Linked DNA regions of Mus musculus. The main gene of each other region encodes a partner of the protein of the gene in region 2 in a complex. Links are inferred from orthologs where the notes say so. Each region holds a gene or a part of one and is shown on either strand. Other genes may lie near its edges. The genes, in order: Cfd, Cfb and Cfp.

Region 1 (6,505 bases), on a different chromosome or scaffold from region 2:
CTAGGCTTTGGCTGTCACCGTGGTCCCCACCACTCTGCCCACTAGGTGAGGCTCCGTGCTGAGGTACCCACACATTTGGAAACTGAGTGACTGCTGGCCCCACTTGTGTCACAACAGACTTTCCCCTCCCCAGCTGCCTCATCTCCTGGTTTTTGTGGCCTTTGCTGTAGTCCCCAGAGGTTCTGCTTTCTAGCATCCATACCACACCTGCCCCCTGCAGCCTCGGGTGGCCAGGCCGCAGCCTCTTTGCTCTTGGTAACTGGTGTTTTCTCCCTGGAGCCCTGTGGAGCTGAGTACAGGGCAATGGCCACGATGACCCAGCTCTGGGGAGGGCCTGCCTGAGCCGGTGCCCCGGAGGATGCTCCACTCTGCTTGGCTACTTTGTGGGTTCTTCTTTCTTCTACCCCTTCAGCCCCCTGACACTAATGGGGATAAGGGGTGACATCACGTTCAGACTGCCTCCCACTGATGAGGAGCATTGCGGTCCTTGGGGCAAGTTTGATGTCACCAGCAGGATATCTAACTTCTTTGCACAGGACTGCTTAACAAACAGCAACCAACCACCAATCCACTATCAACAACAACAACCCTAGCATATATATATCCTCTTAAAAATCCCCAGAATTGCAAATGTCACACAGTTGGAGAAACTAGCTGCAGCTGGCAAAACCACGCCTCTCCTAGATCACGAGGCAAATCATAGTCAGCTGCTGTGGACAGTCTAAAGTAGCCCCACATCTCACACCCGAGATTAAAGCAAAAACCAAAACCCAGAATTATCGATGTACTCCACCGCAGTGTGAGGGAGCTACAGTCAGACAGGGTAACAGTCCCAGGTGAGCATCCCAGCTTTGAACTACCTTCTCCTCAGTGCTGGAAGAGGCAGGCATGTTGTGCCTGGGAACTGGTATACCCCTTCAGAGTTTTGTGACTTCCCTTTGCCCTGCCCACTGCTGCCCCTAGAGCACCTCCTCTGCCAACAGAAGCCAGCAGCATGGTGGTGCAGCATCCTGGCCATGCACAAGCTCGACTTCCTGACCTCCCATAGCCGGAAACATGGCCACCAGGGTGGCAGTCCTGGAAGACTGCTCCGGTCCACTCTCTGCAGAGTGCTGGCCGTGCATAGACATGCATATCAAGCCATCTAGGGGACGTGCTAGACGCAGCTGAGTGGCGTCCCAGGCTCCTCTGTTTAGGTGCGGAGCACTCTGGGATTGTGGGACAAGTGGTGCTAAGCACTAGCCTCCCGAGGGAGTAGAGCTGGGCCTGGCCTGTGTCTGTGGCTATCCCTCTCCATGAGCCTGGTGGCAGCTTGTTCATAAAGATGACTCCAAGCTGAACCTGCCTAGCAGAGACAAAGTTTAGACCCAGGATCCAGTTCTATCCTCTTTCACAGCAGGGTCCTCAGTGGTTTCACCTCTAAGATCCTTAGTCTCCAATACCTACAGGAAGCCAGAAGACTCCCTTTGCCTCAGTGTCCTGTTCTCCTGGTAGAAAGACACAGGGTTTGGGTCCAGGTTCTGCCCATTGTCACCCACAGGGTTCCAGCCTGTGACAAAGACATTACCAACTCCCTCTTCAGTAAACCAGGAAGGGCTCTGGGTTGGAATCCAGTCTTGTTCATGGCCGCTCTGTGCCTCAGTTTTCCCTTTTAGTATTTATGTGGTAAGGCTCAAAGTAAGAGCTGTCTGAGCCCAGACAACAGTCCTGGGTACAGCAGGACCTCAGTAGGATAGGAATGAGCCCCGCCTCACAATTCTAAAACAGCACGCGCGCCCCCGTGTGGCCAAGCGTGAAAACACCCGCCTTCAGGTGTGTATGCAACAGGCACTCAATAAAGATGCACAGGGCGGGCTGGTGAGATGGCTCAGTGGTTAAGAGCACTGACTGCTCTTCCGAAGGCCCTGAGTTCAAATCCCAGCAACCACATGGTGGCTCACAACCATCTGTAATAAGATCTGACTCCCTCTTCTGGTGTGTCTGAAGACAGCTATAGTGTAGATACATATAACAATAAATAAATCTTAAAAAAAAAAAAAAGAAAGATGCACAGGGCTCAGATGCATGCATTTATTGTGAGCCACGTGTCTCTTGTTTCCCTGAGCCACGTGTCTCTGGTGTCCCCTCAGGATGTCATGTTACCATTTGTGATGTTTTCGATCCACATCCGGTAGGATGACACTCGGGTATAGACGCCCGGCTTTTTGCCATTGCCACAGACGCGAGAGCCCCACGTAACCACACCTTCGACTGCATCCCCGCACACTAGAGGGCTGCCGGAGTCTCCCTGTAGGGCAGGGCCACTAGTGACATGCCCACCCAATAGCCAGCAAGAAACTGACTCCCAGAAGCTCCTGAGATTCCTGAACCCCACCCTTCCCACAAGCCAGGCCCCCTAGCTAGCCTCCACAGCCCCTCAACTCCACCCACCCACACCACATCACCCAGACTGTGTCCCTCACCCTGCAAGTGTCCCTGCGGTTGCTCTCTGCACACATCATGTTAATGGTGACTACCCCGTCATGGTACGTGCGCAGATTGCAGGTTGTCCGGTTCATGATTGACACTCTGAGTTGATGCAGGACATCAGGCCTGCGTCCTGCATGGGTGACCACACCCCAACCAGCCACGTCGCAGAGCGTGCCGGGTTCCACTTCTTTGTCCTCGTATTGCAAGGGTAGGGGTCTCACGTGGGGACCCAACGAGGCATTCTGGGATAGCTAAGGGTGGGAGGGGCAGAATGTCTGAGTAGGGGCAGAGTCAAGAAAAGAGATCTGAAGCTGGGGTGGCGGACAGGGATTCTGGTGCAGAAGGTAGGGTCGAGGCTAGACTCTTGAGTACAAAGGATCCAGCTCTCTCACCTTAAAAAGAATGAGGTCGTCCTCAAGGCTGTCAGGTCGGCTGCCCGGGTGAGGCACTACACTCTGCACATCATACCATCGCTTGTAGGGTTCAGGGGCGGACAGGGAGTGGGCACCCAGGAGCACCTGCACAGAGTCGTCATCCGTCCTGGGGACAGGACAAGGGCGCATCTCAGATCCACGTCCCAGCCTCCCGAGGCCCCGCTCCTCCCACCCCCATCCCACCCCTGCCACTCACACTCCATCCATGCAGTGTGCAGCACTGAGCACCCACTGCTCGTCCAGCAGGGTGCCACCGCACACGTGTGTGCCGTTCACTTGCACGGAAGCCATGTAGGGCCGAGCATGGGCTGCGGCCTCCTGGCCACCCAGAATCCGGCCTCGGGGCTGTGCTGCTGAGGAGGGTAGGTGTATTGTAAGGGTTGGGGTGGGTTGCACCTAAAGAGAACCCACTCTGACCACAGACACCTCCAACCCAGTTGCCCCAGACCCAAAAGCGATCTCAGTAAAGTGCATTTCCGAGGGGCTGCAAATTCAGGGGCCTGTGGGTGGTTTACACCCCTCAAGACCACAGTGAACCTGCAGTAGGCTGAAGACAACTTGTAGCGATCACTTTCTTCATCAAATGGGTGTTCAGGCCCTTTAACCAGCTGACCCTTCTCGCTAGCCCTAAGGTGAATTTTAGTTCTTTAATTCTGTAAAGTATACAGATTTCAAATCCAGATTCTTGCTGTTGATAAAAGCTCTGAAACCAGAAGGCTCAGATTACAGATTAGTAATTTGGAGAGTGTTTCACTGCAGGGGACTCCTGCTGTGCTGGCCCACCAAGGGGGCTGCTGTGTCAAACTGGTCCCTCCCTGGTCCACTCACCACATACAGCCGCTCCCAGGATCACCAGAGCCACGAAGTACACGGAGCTGTGCATTCTGACAGCAGGCACTGACCCAGCAGGCTCTCAGGGCTGTTTTATGGACTCCTGCCTCTTACCTCCTGCCCCTTGCCTGGTGGGCAGAAAACCAACTAGGGAAGGGGAGTCTGCACTTTCGGTGTGTCAGCCCTTCTGGGACAGATGATGTGAACCTGTGAGGTGCAGGGGGCAGGGCAAACCCTCCTCTCCCTCCTGCATGGCACCCTGACCAGTGCCCACTCTCAAGGTAGGCATACACAAGGCACAACGAGAGCAGAGGATGGACCACCTGTTGTCCTGGCCCAGTGAGTATCCTTCCAGCCATGTGTCTGTCATGGTGTCTGTTAAAACCAGAGCAGCAGGAGGTCGGTTAGTAACACCCTCCACCCCATCATCTCTCCCTCCTCTTTCTGCCTTCAATTTGGAGAGAAGGTTGCTTGACAGTGGGGGAAGGGCACTTAACTCCTTTGTCCTCATTCCTGTGTCTGTGGGGTCTCACACCTCAGCAAGCAGAGTGTTGCCATGAGGTTTCATTTCCTGTGAATTCTGCCTTCAGGTTTGGCTTGATCCAGGCGCAGCCTCTGTCCTCACCAGGCTCTTCCCTATTGTGGTTATGGGGACCTTGACTATAAAATCAGACCCTCATGCCAATCAAAGTCTTGTTTGGCTGAGCCCAGGTCGCAAGCTCTTCACAAAAAATAATCCTGAGGGTGGGTTCTAGAGGGGAGAGATTGGGGCAAGAAGGATGGGAGCTTGGGGGCTCAGCTCAGCCATTCCCTGTCTTTAGAGGTGACATGATGTTGTAGATGTGTTGTCCACAGGACATCTTGAGCCCCAGGACTGTCATTATAATCAGAAGCCACCTGGGTGGCACACTTTCAACCCCAGCACTCAGGAGGTGAAGACAGAAGAATCTCTGTGGCCGGGCAATGGTGGCACACGCCTTTAATCCTAGCACTTGGGAGGCAGAGGCAGGCGGATCTCTGAGTTCTCTAGGCCAGCCTGGTCTACATAGTGAACTCCAGGACAGCCAGGGCTACACAGAGAAACCTTGTCTCAAAAAAACATCAAGAAGGAGGAGGAGGAGGAGGAGGAGGAGGAGGAGGAGGAGGAGGAGGAGGAGGAGGAGGAAGAAGAAGAAGAAGAAGAAGAAGAAGAAGAAGAAGAAGAAGAAGAAGAAGAAGAAGAAGAAGAAGAAGAAGAAGAAGAAGAAGCAGCAGCAGCTCTGTAAGTTTGAGAAGAGCAGAGCCTGGGTCACATAGTGAGTTCCAAGAAAACCATGGCTGTTGACTCAAACAAAACAAAACAGAATCAGAAGCCCTTTAGCGCAGAACCAGATTGTGAAAACAGGAACCTAATAAATTATAACAAAATTTGGCAGCCACCCAGGGTCATGCAGCTTGGGACACTTCAGTAAACAACTCCGAACTTCCACAGACTTGGAGCCCTGTCCTGGGAGGGGTGGGAGAGGGTGGGGAAAGGTAGGGTGGGTAAAAGAAGCCATTTAGGGAGCACCTGGGACAGAGCTATGGTGTCTACCACTCCAATGTAACAGGAAAGTGGATATCATCACCATCATCATCATCACGTTTGTTTGAGACAGGGTTTCTCTGTGTAGCCCTGGCTGTCATGGAACTCACTTTGTAGGCCAGGCTGGCCTCGAACTCAGAGATCTGCCTGCCTCTGCCTCCCAAGTGCTGGGATTAAAGGTGTGCATCACCACTGCTTGGCTATTTTATTATTTATTATTTTTATTATTTATCTATATGCTGTATTTATTTTATTTATGTACTGTGTGGGTAAGTGTGCAGAGGGCTCGCTGAAATCCATTGTCTCCTTCACCTTCATGGCTAGCATGCTCACCTGGTAAGCCACTTCACCAGTCCTAGCTTATTTATCAGGTTATCTTCACTTTTCTTCCCCCCCCCCCACAGGTACTTAAAACTTTTATTTGTAACAAATTCCCGATTTCTTCTGCTCAAAAGTTCTTTGAGACAATTCTATCAGCCTTAGCCAATCAGAGAATAGAATCATCTGACTCGCCCATCCTGCAAATGACCCCCCGCAGATGCCGTAAGTTTTAAACTGGCCATTAAACCGGCCTGTGGTCCTATCAACCTCGGCCACGTTCATCTGGATGGACGCGTGGTCCTTGGCAGCAATGATGAGGTTGCATGCGGAGCATTTCCGAGGCACGGACAGGTCCACAAACTCGCCGGCGTCGTTCTGCATCCTGAGGCCGTCCCTGCTCACTGGTCCAGCGAGAGCGCAGAAAAGCTCACTTTTCTTAATTATGTGTAGAAGGTGTATATATGTGCCTGGTGCCCACAGAGTCCAAAGGAGGGCATCCAGTCCCCTGGAACTGGGCCTATAGGCAATAGTGAGCCACCATATGGGAGTCCAGGTCCCCTATGAGAGCAGCAGACACTCCTAACTGCTAAGCATCTCTCCAACCCTCTATTTTTCTCACTCTGTAGGCCAAGCTGTCCTCAGACTCTTGGTAATCCTCCTTTTTCAACCTCCTAAATGCTGAGACCTAGCTGAACATGGGATTTAGGAACAGAAACCAAAAGACCTGTCTGACGGACATTCTTTTGTACAAAGTGGGGGACGTGACTCCTGCCACACCTTTGCCCCAGCTTGGCTGCAGCGTCTCCAGGAGGTGAACCGTATACGAGGCATTGGCTGTGTTCTACATCCTGAAGCAGCAGACATCAGACCCAGTGTACAAAACAAA
Region 2 (6,591 bases):
CTACGAGAAGATGGAGTCTGCAGATCAGGCTGTTGCTGAGGTTGGGACTTCTCAGACCGTTCCTCCCATCCCTCCTGTCATCCTCCTGCTTCTTCTTTTCAATATCTGCTTCTAGAGGAAACTTTTCTCCTGACTGAGAAAACCTTCATCCTCACATTCCTGGTTGGTCTCCCAGGGCAGCAGCACCTGGCTCCATGTAATGCCCGTCCTCTGTCCCCTCCCCTCTTGTCCCACAGCTCAATGGGACCCAGGTGGAATCTGTGCAGCTTAAAGTCAACATAGCCCGAAAACAGCCCATGCTGGACGCTGCTACTGGCAAATCTGTCTGGGGCTCCCTTGGTAAGGATGAGGCTCCTCCCTTCCCCTCTCTGCAGCATAGCACTTCCTTGAGTTCCCTAAAGTGCCCAAGGTCAGGATCTTCACGTAGGTAGTGGATGAAGAATTGCCAGGGCATCTGTCAGGTGAGGGAAGGAGAGCAGCACTGAAATGTGCCCTCTCAGTGGTGGCACACACCTTCAGCCACAACACGTGGGAGGTGGAGCCAGGTGAGTTCAAGGCCAGCCTGGTCTACAGAGCAGAGTTCAGAACAGCCAGGGCTACACAGAGAAATCTTGTCTTGAAAAGCCATTTGGGCAGGGCAGTGGTGGCACACACCTTTAATCCCAGCACTTGGGAGGCAGAGGAAGGTGGATTTCTGAGTTCAAGGCCAGCTTGGTCTACAGAGTGAGTTCCAGGACAGCCAAGACTACACAGAGAAACCCTGTCTCAGAAAACCAAAAAAAAAAAAAGAAAGAAAAGAAAAGCCATTTGGAAAAACAGAACAGGGTCCTCTGTCACAGACAGGAAAGCAGAAGCCTAGTTGTCGCCTCTGAGCTGGAGTGTTACCTGAACTTGGTATTGTGGGTCTGGACCTCAAGTAGAAGACCAGGCATGGAAACATAGATTAGTGTTCTGTGTATCTGGAACCATCAGAGGTGGGGATTTTGGAGATTGAAAAGTGACCTGAGACTGGTTTAGAGAATCAAGAGCATTAGGAAGCTAGGCTCTACTGTCTGTGCCTAGCATACCTCCAGCAGTCCTGGCTTGCTAGGCCCAAGTTAAGTCTGCAGCAAAGGAGCCATGAAGAAGAGTCCAAGCTAAGAACAACCCCAGAAGCTCTGGGCTGTGGGCTGAGAGGCTCTGAAAAGAGTATAAGACCAAAGAGGAGGCCTGTCTCTTAGCCCCACAGGGAATCCTTGGGAGGGATGAGCAGTATGAGGAAAGAAAAGCTGAACACTTGAGTTCGGAGAGGTCCTCATGGGGTCTCTCAGTGTGGACAGCCCATTCTACCCAAAACAAACTTTTCTGAGGAAGGAGTAAGCAAAGTCCTTGCACACACTAGGAAGGAACCAGAATTGACCAGTGTACCAGCAAGGTACAGAAACATTCTGATCTTTTAATTTCCATGTATTTGTGATGTTATCATAGTCACATCTCTAACTGTGTTAACATTCTGGATTTTCTAAGCCACAGTGAGGTTATGGCCACCAGAGGGCAGAGTAAGCCCTGGTGGACCAGGGCCAGGGCTCTGGACCCCAGGTCTAACGCCACTGGTGCTTCACTTAACTGTCACTTTCCTCCCTCCTTAGCTGTCCAGAACAGCCCTAAGGGTTGCCATCGAGACAAGAGGACCCAGATTGTGTACAGTGACGATCTATAGGAAACCTTGTGGATGGCTTCTAGGACATGAAGCTGGATTCCTTGTGCCTCATATGCCCCCAAGCTGGTCTCAGTAAAATCCTGGGGTAGAAGCTTTTCACCTCCGTCAGCCTCTAGTCTTTCAGCACTTGGGATTGGAGTTAAGCCTTCAAAAGCGGCTGTCAGTGTTGATGTTAACCAGTGCACGCCCTTACCCCAAAAAGATGTGGAACACACTTGTTATTGTAACTGCTTTAATCTGTCCTCACACTCTCCCTGCAGGAAGCTCTTTATAGAAAACCCAAATCCTCATCTTTGAGCTTGTCCTTTAGCCAGGGCAGCACCTGGAAGAGGTTGATGTGGAAGTCCCGGGCATAAGAGGGTACCAGCTGTTGCCGCCTCTGGTCTCTGCAGACATCTACTACTCCCCAGCTAATCACACCAACCTGTGTAGATAAGGGTATGCCATGGGTCACTTGACACACTAATAATCCCAGAAAGCTTCCAAGCTGGCCTAAAGAAGTGCACTGGGAGCCTAGCTCCCCCTGTCTTCTGTGGTGCACATAAGCCAGACACTTGGCATTCACTGACCAGTTAAGAACATAGCTGTCAGATGAGGTGGGCCCTGTTCTGCCCCCTTTTCCAGCCCCCTTTTCCAGCCCCCTTTTCCAGCCATGTACAGCAGGCTTTCTTTTTGTGACTCCTGGGCATCTCCCTAAGGGACTAGAGAGGGGACCACTCACTTGAATGAAGCGGCTTCTCTTGTGAACAATGAGAGGGCCCCCGGAATCTCCTGTAGAAGAGAGAAGCTGTAGGGGAAAGATGCTGGGCCTGTGGACTTGCAGCATAGCCAGAGAGCCACCTCACCTTTGCATGTGTTGGGGTCAGCATAGGGATCCACCCCTCCTGTGCAGAGGAACCGTGGAGTGACCACCTCAGAGGCATCTTTGACCTTCTCATAGCCTTGGGCCTTTGTAGCATCTCTCTCACAACTGGCTTTCTGTAGGCAACAAAGGTGAAAAAGCTAGCTAGCTAAGGGAGGAATGAGACCTATGTGACCCTCTCCAGAATCCTCTTCTCACCTTGTCCCCATTCTTGATGTACACCTCCTTCCGAGTCAGGCTCTTCCCTTGCTCAGATACAAACAGAGCTTTGACATCCTTCACAGGGAGCAACTGTTCCTCTGGAAAAGTAATGGGGTCATGCCAGCTGAACCCTTACTTCTCACCCAGCAGATGTCCCTTGGGCCCATAGGAGCCAGGCCTTGAACTAAGCAGTTTAACACTTTCAACTCCCTCTTTCGACCCCTTTGTCTTGCAAATCTCATCCTTGTCTTATCCCAGACTATGCCTTACTGTGCTGCTTGCAGGTGGCTGTCTGAGGAAGCCTCAAGGCTCGTGTGGTTCCCTCCGTGCAGGGGAGACAGATGGGCCTATGGAGACAGGTACAGTAAGGAGCCACAGACAACCTGTTCTGCCCTGTGCCTCCAGCCCAACCTTTCATAGCATCTCTGAGCCCCAGCCTCACTCACCTGAGAGTCTGGCCATACTTGAGCTTGTTCTTGAGCTTGACTAGGGCCACATCATAATCATAGAACTCAGGGATCCCTTCTGCCTTTTTCCCATTAATATTGTATTTGGGGTGGAACAGGACCTCTTCAATCTCCAGGTCCCGCCTCTGACCCCCTGAGAAGAGAAGAATGGGCACCATGTTTATGGAAGCAGCCTCCTGCCTCTGGCCCCATCTCATCTTTGGGGTTCTGTTTCCCCATCCTTAACTAGTCAGTGTTAAGGGGGTCGGGGGGGGCTGTGCTGAGAACAGGTGGGCTACAGGTCATAACATGTCAGTGTTTCCTGAAGATAGATGGGCCTGGAGGTCAGAGTCTTGACTGCATCCTTACCCACGCTGACCTTGATGGAATGTTTCTGATCATCCACCATGAAGCAGTGCGCTGCTGTCAGCACGAAGTACTCAGACACCACGGCCCCCATACAGGTCTCATGTCCTTTCAGAGGGCGCTAGGAAGCCAATGCAGATTAACCTTGGTGTATGTGTACTGCTGGAGGCTGCTCTGTACTAGCCCAGACTGACCTCAGACACAAGGCAACCCTGCTCTCACTTCCAAATGCCAGGGCACCAGCATGTATGTGCTCCATGCCCAGCATCCTTCCCCTTTTTCAGGCAGTTTGATAAGTTATTGTATTGACCTTGAACTCACTGTAGCCCAAGCAGGCCATGAATCTCTACCCTACCTCGGCTTCCTGAAAGCCAGGATTACAGCTAGTGTAGACATTTCCCCTCCTCTTCCCTCTGCCCTTCCTTCCTTTCCCTCCCACAAGTACCCACTGCACGAATGCTTACAGTGACTGAGATCTTGGCTTGCCATGGTTGCTTATGATAATCGTTGCCTTTTTTATGCTCCCACACCATGCCACAGAGACTCAGAGATTTGGTTTCATCTGTCAGGGAAAGAATACTGAAGGCTCAGGTCATTGTAGTCAACTTTGTTGGGTCCCTGTGTGTCTGTTGGCAGCAGAGGCCCAGAAGGGGAAAGGGGAGCAAGCAGGGAGAGGGTTCTGTGTGTTAGATGAGGAACCCCATGGTGTAGTAAGAAAAGATTGACCAGGAGATCTGAGGACTGAGCATCTTAGCCACAGTCTTGGTGCTGACTTGCTGTGCTCAGCCTGTTTCTACATCTGTAAAACAAGCTATTAGAGTTCTGTGAGTGTGAGAAATCAGGAAGTAAGAATAGACGTGGGGGAGGCATGACGGGGCCAGAGAGCGAGCCTTCCAGGTTTTGATGGCTTTGGGGTGGGAGACGTTGGCAACCTCAGTCTGCAGCTTCCCCTTGTACACCCTTGAGTCTTCCTACCAATCATTTGGTAGAAAACATTCTCCAGGTCTTCCATATCCTTGACTTTAAACACATGATGCTCATTGTCCTTTTTGGAAGCTAAGGCATTGATGTTCACGGAGTCCACCAGAGGCCCGACCCCAAACACATACACATCTGAAGGAGAGAAGGAGAGGGTGAGAGTCCAGGCCCTGAGGGGTGAGGGTTTGAGAGTGCAGGATCCCAAATGGGCCACTCACCCAGGTAATCCTCCCTGGGATTTTTGGGATCCCTGCCGATGTCCAGCAAGGCTCGGATGTCCTGAATGACAGTGACAGGGTTTCCACCCATGTTGTGCAAGCCTGTGGGAAACATGAGGATCATAAAAGTGGGACAGAGAAGATACACTGTCTGGAGACACAAACACATGCTCAGGAGATGGGAGGATGGTGGTGTAGGAGAAAGGCCTTACCATCAGTCATAATGATGATGACATGGCGGGTTCTATTCCAGCCTTCAGGCGGGGCATCCCCTGCCCAGCTCATCATGCTATACACAGCCTGGAGAGCCCTCTTGGTGTTGGTCCCTGACTTCAGCTTGTGGTCTATAGACAAAAGGTCACCAACCTTATCTTCAAGCCACATTTGCACCTCAGAAGTCTGTGACAACTGAGATCCCACATTCTTCAACTTTTACTCTATAGACCATGCTGGCCTTGAACTCAGAGATTCACCTGCTTTTTGGATGTTGGGATTAAAGGCTTGTGCCACCAAGTCCAGACATTGTTTAACTTTTGTTATCACCCACTTGCCCTTGACTCTTCCAGCATTCTCCATTGCCCAAGGAGACTTTTCTTCAACCTTTAACCAATAGTAGTCTTGTCTGCTTTCTCCCGAAGAACCCCAAGCTTCTGACTACCACAGCCCCAAGGTGCACCTCCCGGCTTTCCCTTCCCTGATCTCTGACCTTCATAACTGATTTGGTTGAGCTTCTCTGTGACCCAGTCGGCATCGCTACTCCTCTCATCAGACACTCTGACCAACACTTTGGGGACTGTAGCATATGTCAGGAGACCATATCGTGGCCTCACCCCGTAACTCGCCACCTGTTCATGAGCAAGAGGCCATTGTGTTTAAAAAAACAAAAACAAAAACCAGTGTGGTGGGTAGTCAACACTCCTGTTGAGACAGGGAAGAGGCTGGAGGACAGCAGGACCTGGACCCAAAGGATCTGGGGACACAGGAAACCAGTCTTGTAAGGGCAGTGGGGTCCAGATAAGGTCCCCTCATTTCAAAGGGAGGGGAACTCTGATCTACCTTCTCAATCAAGTTGGTGAGGCACCGCTTAGCCCCTGTGAAGTTGCTGCTTCCGATGCTGTCTGATCCATCTAGCACCAGGTAGATATTCATGGAGCCCGAGGGGTCTAGGACAATCTTCCTCTTCTGCTGTTCTCCTAGGTGCCAGCAGAGACTCAGCTTCTGATATGTACAGTACCTGACAGACCACCCATCCTTCCCTGGGCTTCCTGCTCAGTCTCCCTCCTTGTATTCTAACCTGGGCTGTGCCCATCCTCAGCATCGGCTCCTTCGATGGTCTCTGTCAGGGAGGATAGGAATGCTTCGGCCACTTCTTGAGGGCTGTCATACATGAAGGAATCTAGGGATGGTCAGAGAGTAGGTCAGATGATGGAGTACTGAGGACACGCTGACAGGGTGATAGGATTTCAGAACGAGAGACTCTTAGTGTTGAGCCAACAGGGCAAGAGCAGACCCAGGGAGCAGGTCAAGGGTCACCTTGGCAGGAAGGCTCTGTCCCACTCCATGAGCCACCTTCTTGACACTTTCGCTTCTGGGAGCCACGCAGGACAAGTCCCCGGCTGCAGTGGTAAGTAACAATGTCTTCAAGGCGGTATTGGCTACCCACCTTCCTTGTCCCAATAGGAATACCGGGATTGGGACAGTATCCAGCTGCAGAGATATAAGACAATTTGAGGGCCCATGCATTCCCAGGGTGAAGCCCTCCAGCAGAGGGTAAAGTCAGGGGTGACCAGGTTCTCACCTCCATCATCACAAATTGCTGTT
Region 3 (7,215 bases), on a different chromosome or scaffold from region 2:
ACTCACGGGTACTTGGGGAGCAAAGGTGTGCAGAGGCGCTGGCGGACACGGGTGGCGTTGGGACTACATGGTGGTGTGCACAGACTCCAGGTACTCCACTGTGACCATGAACCTTTCACTGCAATAGGAGGGGGTAATACAGTGTCACATAGTCAAAACTGGAGGTCTCAATGGAAAAAGGAGACCGCAAGGGCATTGGGTACCCAGCATAGCTACAGCATGGTTGCCCACCCTTACAGTGCTGCCTGTGGGTCACTCACTGATACAGTTATGGATGTTATAGCAGTGTCGAATATCCTGGAGTTTTCCAGCACATGGCTTCCCATTAAATTTGCGGCCGCCACAGCTCCTTGAACGTGACTGCTGGCCTGGGGTTCCTTCACAGTTGATGGACATTCTCAGCCGGCTGCAGTCACTCCATTTTCCCCAGGCCTCCCACTCCCCGTTTACTGTAGAGACAAGGAGCAAGAGGGTTTGGGGCCAGTAAAGGGCCTCAGGGGAAGGAATGAAGAAGGCTTTGAGAGGGAGTGGGAGTGAACAGATGTGGGGATGAAGGAGGAGAGGTGAACCAGGGTATGAAGGCAGGAACAAGGTTTTGGTAGCAAGTGGGCAGCAGTGATGGGCATAGGGCTTGGGCAGGGGGTTAGGCATGGGCATGGTGCCTTTTGACTTGCTAACCAGGGCAAGGTACGGCTTTGTTACACATTTGGTTCCGAGTGGCATCACCAGCACAAAAGGGGCCCCCATGACGGGGTGCAGGGTGATCACATGTCCGTTGCTCTAGGGTCTGGCCCAGGCCACAAGTCACAGAGCAGGGGCTCAAAGGGCTCCATGGCCCCCAGCCACCAGCCACTGTTGGAATGGAGAGAAAGTGACAATAAAGACCACCTTAATCATGCACTCTCCCCAGCTTCCCTCCCTATCACCTCTAGACATCTGAGGCAAACTCCTCAGATGATAGGCTTCTGATCACGTGGTACAAGAATTCCATTCATCTTTGCCAGAAATCTAAAGCCCCACTAGCTGCATGACGATGGCCTCATCCCTGCATACCTGGGCAAGGTGGTAGGCCACTGCAGGCCTTATGCTCATAGGCTGGTCCTGAGCAGGGTTTCCCAGGGGGCTGGTGTGAAGGTGCTGGTGCAGAACATGAGCGGCTTCGTGTCTCCTTAGGTTCTTGAGCACCACCAAGGCAGGATCCTGAGCAGGGGCTCCAGGGGCCCCAGGATGCCCAGGCCCCATGTGCTGTGGTAGAAATGGAAGGATGAACTGTAGTCAAGCAAGCATAAAAGTTTTTTTTTCTCCCTCACAGTTTCTTGCTGTAACCCAACATTATCCCTTCCATGTCCTGTGACTACTCTTACTCACTGGGGCAGGTCTTCTGGGTGTCACAGGCCTGTGATTGCTGGGCCTCTCCTGGGCAGTGGCCCCCACACTTAGGAGCAGGATTATCACATACTCGTTGACGGATCTGGGTTCCTTTGGAGCATGTGACAGAGCAAGGCCCCCAGGGTCCCCACTCAGACCAGCCACCCATCTCTGTGGGAGAAAAAGAGAAGAAGTGGGGGTGTGTGTGGCAACTTAGGATTCCTTTCTTTCCACAGGGTCCCCAATGAAGGAGCTAGAGAAAGGACCCAAGGAGCTGAAGGGGTCTGCATCCCCCTAGGAGGAACAACAATATGAACTAACCAGTACTCCCAGAGCTCCCTGGGACTAAATCACTAACCAAAGAGTACACATGGTAGGACTCGTGGCTCCAGCTGCATATGTAGCAGAGGATGGCCTAGTCGGTCATCAATAGGAGGAGAGGCCCTTGGTCCTGTGAATGTTCTATGCCCTGGTATAGGGGAATGCCAGGGCCAGGAAGAAGGAGTGGGTGGGTTGGTGAGCAGGGGGAGGGGAGGGGATAGGGGATTTTCGAAGGGAAAACGAGGAAAGGGGATTACATTTGAAATGTAAAGAAAACCTAATAAAAACCAAGGATCCCTTTCTTTCATGTGTGTCCCACATCATCTTAGCCTGTCCTATCTCTTGTCCCTATACCTGACCTAGCAGTACTGCTCATGTGGACTATAGCAGCAGCTTTCATACTCCAGATTTGGCCTGTCCTCTTCCCAAAGCAAGTCAAAGTAAATCTCTCCCCTTCCAATAATCCAAATCATTCAGCCTCAAGCCAATGTTTTTACTTTCGAACATCCTTCAGCGATCCTAGCCTCCTCCATTCTCCTTAAAGCCATACAAAGGTCTGTCCTCAGGACCTCTGCACTGATTCTTCTAGTGTTGTGGGCTGGTTCCATGTCCGCATTGTTGATCTTCCTTACCTGGACAGCATGGCTGGTCCTCACAGGCCTGTAGCTGCCACTCAAGAGTTCCAGGAGCCACATTCTCAGAGCACTGACCACCTCTGCCCACACAGCGCCTGTGTCGCAGCTGGGACCCCTCAGAACATGTAACTGAGCAGGGCCCCCATAAGGACCATGCTGACCATTGTGGAGACCTGTAGAGAGGAGCCGATGTTCTATCCTGGTATGAAGTGACAGGATAGATCACTGAGAGCCTACTTACCACTTAGGGATGGTGGGTGATTGAACAGGAAGAAGTGAATATACAGGAAATATCTAATAAATTTCATTTCCCTTCATTTTCCTCTGGAAACCCCCCAGGGTCATAGCCAGATGTACAATAAGCAAATTTACAGACTAAAAAACCAGAACTTCTGCCAGGAACTCAATAGGTCACTACCCTGTACAGTACCACACAGAGAGGAAGTCCTTACTAAACAGAAGCTCTGCGGTCCCTTCACAACATCCTAGAGAAACACATTGCTTCTGCACAGAACTGGGTTTGCATGATAATATGGGTATGCATGCCAGTGCTAAAGAGACATGAACTGTTAGCATGACTGGCAGCTCAGAGCTGCTTTCCAAGATCTTCAAGCCTATCATCTTTACAATGTTATCTGAAATACATAGTAAGCAGTCATAAACTATATCTACAGTATAGTAAGACTCAACATATGTAAACTGGAAGTCATGATTAGGAGCTTTGAAGTGCCTTCAGAGACCAAACTGCCACAAAAGAGTTGCACAATGAATGTGTCATCACAATTAAAGATTTGGCATTGTCCTCAGAATTTCCTTAAAGTCCTCCATTTCTATAATGGTTCTATATATAATAAGCACTCAATTATGATCTATTGTAAGTTAGGAGAATAGAGCTACCATAGAAAATATCCAAATTGCACCCCACCTGCAATGTTTACAGGAAGCCCTGACTTTTAAAGCATTTTAAAATTAGGGTTAATTTTGTCTCTCCTAAGGGACATTTGGCAGTATCTGGATTCAGCTTTTTTAAAAACTCTTCTCTCATACAAGACAGCCTAACTATAGTTTCCTTTCCCCTCGTTTCTTTCAGCCCCCACCTCCTACAACCTCCTCTCTTCCCCAGATCCTCCTCCTCCAGTTCCCCTTCAGAAAAAAATCAGGCCTTCCAGGAATATTAACCAAACGTGTCATAAGAAGATGCAATAAGACTAGGCACAAATTCTTATATCAAGGCTGGATGAGGCAACTCAGGAGGAGAAAAGGGGTCCTAAGCACAGATGAAAGAGTCAGAGACACCCCACACCCACTAATAATCAGTGCAGAGAGTTGTTAAAAACATTTAGGGGTAGGTCAGATATGTTATAAACTACCAAACAATGCACAGCTAAGAACTCATACCCTTAACAAAGAGCTCCAAATGGCAACAGTGCCAAGATTTTGAAACCCTGAGCTATGGTCATAAGGAGGGCTTGTGGAGGAGGTGGCACTCTTAGAAGCTCCAGGGCAACGAGTACAGTTCTAGGTTACAGGGTTCAGCCCAGGTTCCTCCAAACCTGCATGCCTGACAGAGGCCACCATCATGCTCCTGGAAGGCATAGGCAGCGTTGAGACAGCAGTCTTCTACCCTGATGTCTCTCCCAAGTAGGCCTTTGCACCTGCCAGAGGACTCCTCATACTGGGTGAAGCAGAGCACAGGGTCTGAGCCTGTAAGATCAGGGGAGAGGAATGGCAAATCAGGAGTGTGGTTGGCCTGGGCATCCCTTGGAGGACATGTGGGCGCTCATCCACTTACCTGTGGCTGGCAGGATAACCAGTAGCAGCAGGAGCCACTGAGGGGCTTGCATTTCAGCAGGCATTTTGAACACTATGTTTCTGCACTCCTCACAGAGAGGAGGCCTTGGTTTTGTCTGGACTGACCTGCTCCAGAAAGAGGAACCCAGGGCAGGAGGAACTGGGAGGGTATGGCCTCATTAACTGTGAAGTCTCCCTTGTGCACTCTGCCCCTCCTCTTTTCTCCCTTCTCCATTTCCTTGTAGCTGCTTTGTCACCCTTGATGCTGCTTTGTTAGTCAATCTTTACCACCTAATACCCCACCTTACCCAGAAATCACTTAGTTTTTCACTCAATGCTTAGGAGACAAATTCTCACTGAAGGGCACTGGGGTCTGAAAACAAGAACCACCTAGGCGTGTGAACGTTGGCAAGTCACTTTAAATTCTCAGCTTTAGTTTTCCTTTTTTTTTTTTTTTTTTTTGCAAGGTTTTACAACATAGCCATACCTGAAATTTGCTTTAAACACCAGGCTGGTCTTGAACAGGCAAGTAACACCATGGCTGGCTCATTTTCTTACCTGTAAAATGCATAATCTTGACTATGGTGACCAATTTCATGGGGGTACTGGAGAAGGGTGAGATGAGGGAAGGCCTCATTTGTGAAGAAGGCATCATGGCAGCTACTTTATCTACCATCTTGAAAACTTAGCCCTTTCCTAAAAGTGAGGTTCCTGTGGTCAGCATGTATGTGTGTGAGGTCAATGCAAGGGAAGTGAAAAAGGGAAGTGGCATTGTGTGGGAAGTGATTCAGAAGAGGGGATGTTCAGGCATACCCACTGCCCAAGGTGGGGGGAGGGGCTCAGTGGTATGCCATTTGCCTAGCATGTGAGCAGCTTTAGGTCTGTATGCAGTACAAATTTACAGCACTGGACACAGCTTAGATCTGTCACAGCCCGACAATGAAAATACTCAGAATAGTGCCTGGCTGTGTTTACTAAATTGGTTTGTTCAACAATTATTGAGCACCTACTGAGCATCAGTAGTTCTCAGCATTAAATGGAATAGAAAACAAGACAGGAAAAAAAATCACTGTCTCTAAAGGACTTAAACACTCTACAAAGGGAGACTAGCAATAAAAATCTTTCAGAAAGGTCTTCTCCTGTGACCCTTCTTGGATGTCATTACTCTCTAGCCTTAGGACACACAAGAATCACCCACAGGGCTTCTTGATCCAACTGCACATTGCTGGATCCTACCTATTTCTCATTCAGCAGGTGTAGTGTGGGCCTCCAGTTTTTCAGACACACATACTTCTCAGACACCATTTGGTTGTCAAGTTTCTCACAACTGCTGACTGTGAGTCCTTCTTTTCTCCTCAGCTCCTCAGTCTCACCAGAACCTATGGAAGCTGCAACTGTTTTGTTGTTTTAAGATTTACTTATTTTATTTATTTTATGTATATGGGTACACTGTGGCTGTACATGATTGTGAGCCATCCTGTGGTTGCTGGGAATGAAGGTTGCTTGCTTTGGTCGAGCCTGCTCGCTCCGGCCCTGTTCACTCTGGCCTAAAGATTTATTGTTATATCTAAGTACACTGTAGCTGTCTTCAGATGCACCAGAAGAAGGTGTCAGATCCCATTACAGATGGTTGAGTCACCATGTGTTTGCTGGGATTTGAACTCAGGACCTTCGAAAGAGCAGTCAGTGCTCTTAACCAGAGCCATCTCTCCAGCCCAAAGCTGAGACTTGTTAACCAGCTGCTACCCACTAGTAGCGGGTAACATTTTCAGTCTCTCTCCTACACACACACACACACACACACACACACACACACACACACACACACCAGCCTTTTAGACTTTAGCAGCCACAACCAATCCATTTCTCCATCTTTCCTATGGTTTCTATGAAACATTTTAGTTTCACACCTATGTCTTATCAGTCACTTGGGCCTCATGATCATTTTCTTTCACACAATCAGTAACTTCTTGTTCTTCCTCCTTCATTTCCCTCTTCTTTTTTTGAGACAGGGTTTCTCTGTGTAGCCCTGGCTGTCCTGGAACTTGCTCTGTAGACCAGGCTGACCTTGAACTCTGAGACCTACTTGCTTCTCCTTCCCCAGTGCTGGGATTAAAGACGTGTGCCTCTACCACCTGGCTCACACAATCAGCTTCTTAAACATATACCTCCATGACTTAATTTCACACACAAACCATTTCTCAAAACCATTTCTCTACTAACAGTGTGACTTTTCATCTACAAATGGTTGGGACTGGAGAAATGGCCCAGTCAATAAAACACTTGCTTTGCACAACCCTGTGAATAAAGGAGTCAACGTGGTAAAAGGTGACCGTTTGATCCCTACAATACAGGTAAAAATTCCAGGCATAGAAGTACATGCTTGTAATCCCAAGGTAGAACCAGGTAGATCCTTGAGACTTGATGGCCAGCAAGTGTATCCCAACTGGTAAGTTTAGGCAAAGATGAGACCCTGTCTCAAAGGAGGGGACAGTGTTCCAGTAGACAACACACCACACATAAGACCATGCATACACATGTACAAAAATGTTTGCGGTCACACTTCTGACCTGCGACACACATATTTAAAATCTTTCGGTTTCTCTCATCACACTGGTTACCAATCAGCAGTCTGTATCAGTCTCTGACATATGCCATCATTTTGCCTCTCTCACAGTCAATCTTTGCCTCGCCCTTATTGTTCTTCATATTCGTGGCTGTCATGGCTTATTTTGGTGACACAGGAGAAAAAAAAATACCAACAGCTTTCAGCAACACCTTTAAAAATATATATTTACAGGAACAATTCCCCATTCTCTGGGACTCTTAGAAAAAAAGGTCCATTTTGGGGAAGCAAAACAAGTAGTGGAGACGAGTATAGCACCGTCCCCCAAATCACCAACCCCCAGGTCTTCAGGCCTGGTCTGGGCCAGTGCTGACAGGAGGTGAGCCTGGGAGTCTTTTGATCCACCTCCTCCAGCCTAGATTGATATAAGACAGGCTCCATGTCCCCCATTCCTCCCTCCCAACTCCAGGGACACTTAAAAGGGTCCTTTGTACCCGCCTGCAGGAAATTGGGGGGCTGGGAGGGAGCCAAAAA

What was found.
Region 1: the proteins of Cfb (region 2) and Cfd are in contact, whole or in part, in a crystal structure (PDB 2XWB), measured with the Homo sapiens proteins. The link is inferred for Mus musculus from reciprocal best matches to the Homo sapiens genes CFB and CFD. Residues at the interface, in NP_001701.2 of Homo sapiens: Glu298, Ala301, Ser302, Ala332, Asp333, Ile469, Asp470, Glu471, Ser472, Glu518, Tyr519, Lys585, Asp758, Glu759, Asp760; in NP_001919.2 of Homo sapiens: Asn157, His158, Ala159, Gly160, Arg161, Arg162, Arg182, Thr183, Asp186, Arg200, Val228, Cys229, Gly230, Asn231, Arg232, Lys233.
Region 3: the proteins of Cfb (region 2) and Cfp are in contact, whole or in part, in a crystal structure (PDB 7NOZ), measured with the Homo sapiens proteins. The link is inferred for Mus musculus from reciprocal best matches to the Homo sapiens genes CFB and CFP. Residues at the interface, in NP_001701.2 of Homo sapiens: Glu54, Gln56, Ser78, Thr316, Tyr317, Leu349, Ser351, Met394; in NP_001138724.1 of Homo sapiens: Arg329, Arg330, Asn331, Lys333, Pro341, Met420, Val421.

What each region holds. Positions count from the first base shown.
Region 1 is NC_000076.6:79,888,207-79,894,711, reverse strand, and holds Cfd (complement factor D isoform 1 preproprotein), read right to left. Parts: upstream 3,860-6,505; 5' UTR 3,787-3,859; coding exon 3,732-3,786; intron 3,257-3,731; coding exon 3,100-3,256; intron 3,010-3,099; coding exon 2,862-3,009; intron 2,721-2,861; coding exon 2,463-2,720; intron 2,288-2,462; coding exon 2,126-2,287; 3' UTR 2,057-2,125; downstream 1-2,056.
Region 2 is NC_000083.6:34,854,460-34,861,050, forward strand, and holds the end of Cfb (complement factor B isoform 1 precursor), read right to left. Parts: coding exon 6,569-6,591; intron 6,478-6,568; coding exon 6,304-6,477; intron 6,167-6,303; coding exon 6,065-6,166; intron 5,964-6,064; coding exon 5,827-5,963; intron 5,616-5,826; coding exon 5,477-5,615; intron 5,115-5,476; coding exon 4,983-5,114; intron 4,873-4,982; coding exon 4,771-4,872; intron 4,688-4,770; coding exon 4,550-4,687; intron 4,137-4,549; coding exon 4,039-4,136; intron 3,696-4,038; coding exon 3,578-3,695; intron 3,363-3,577; coding exon 3,209-3,362; intron 3,174-3,208; exon of another isoform or gene 3,110-3,173; coding exon 3,033-3,109; intron 2,861-3,032; coding exon 2,760-2,860; intron 2,678-2,759; coding exon 2,545-2,677; intron 2,487-2,544; coding exon of another isoform or gene 2,471-2,486; coding exon 2,421-2,470; coding exon of another isoform or gene 2,417-2,420; intron 2,124-2,416; coding exon 1,968-2,123; 3' UTR 1,915-1,967; downstream 1-1,914. Other genes in the region: Nelfe (negative elongation factor E), read left to right, coding at 1-40, 237-339, 1,629-1,699.
Region 3 is NC_000086.7:20,927,275-20,934,489, forward strand, and holds the start of Cfp (properdin precursor), read right to left. Parts: upstream 4,282-7,215; 5' UTR 4,181-4,281; coding exon 4,117-4,180; intron 4,029-4,116; coding exon 3,878-4,028; intron 2,498-3,877; coding exon 2,322-2,497; intron 1,540-2,321; coding exon 1,369-1,539; intron 1,246-1,368; coding exon 1,054-1,245; intron 853-1,053; coding exon 679-852; intron 450-678; coding exon 261-449; intron 119-260; coding exon 7-118; intron 1-6. UniProt on the Homo sapiens protein: A positive regulator of the alternate pathway (AP) of complement. It binds to and stabilizes the C3- and C5-convertase enzyme complexes. Inhibits CFI-CFH mediated degradation of Complement C3 beta chain (C3b).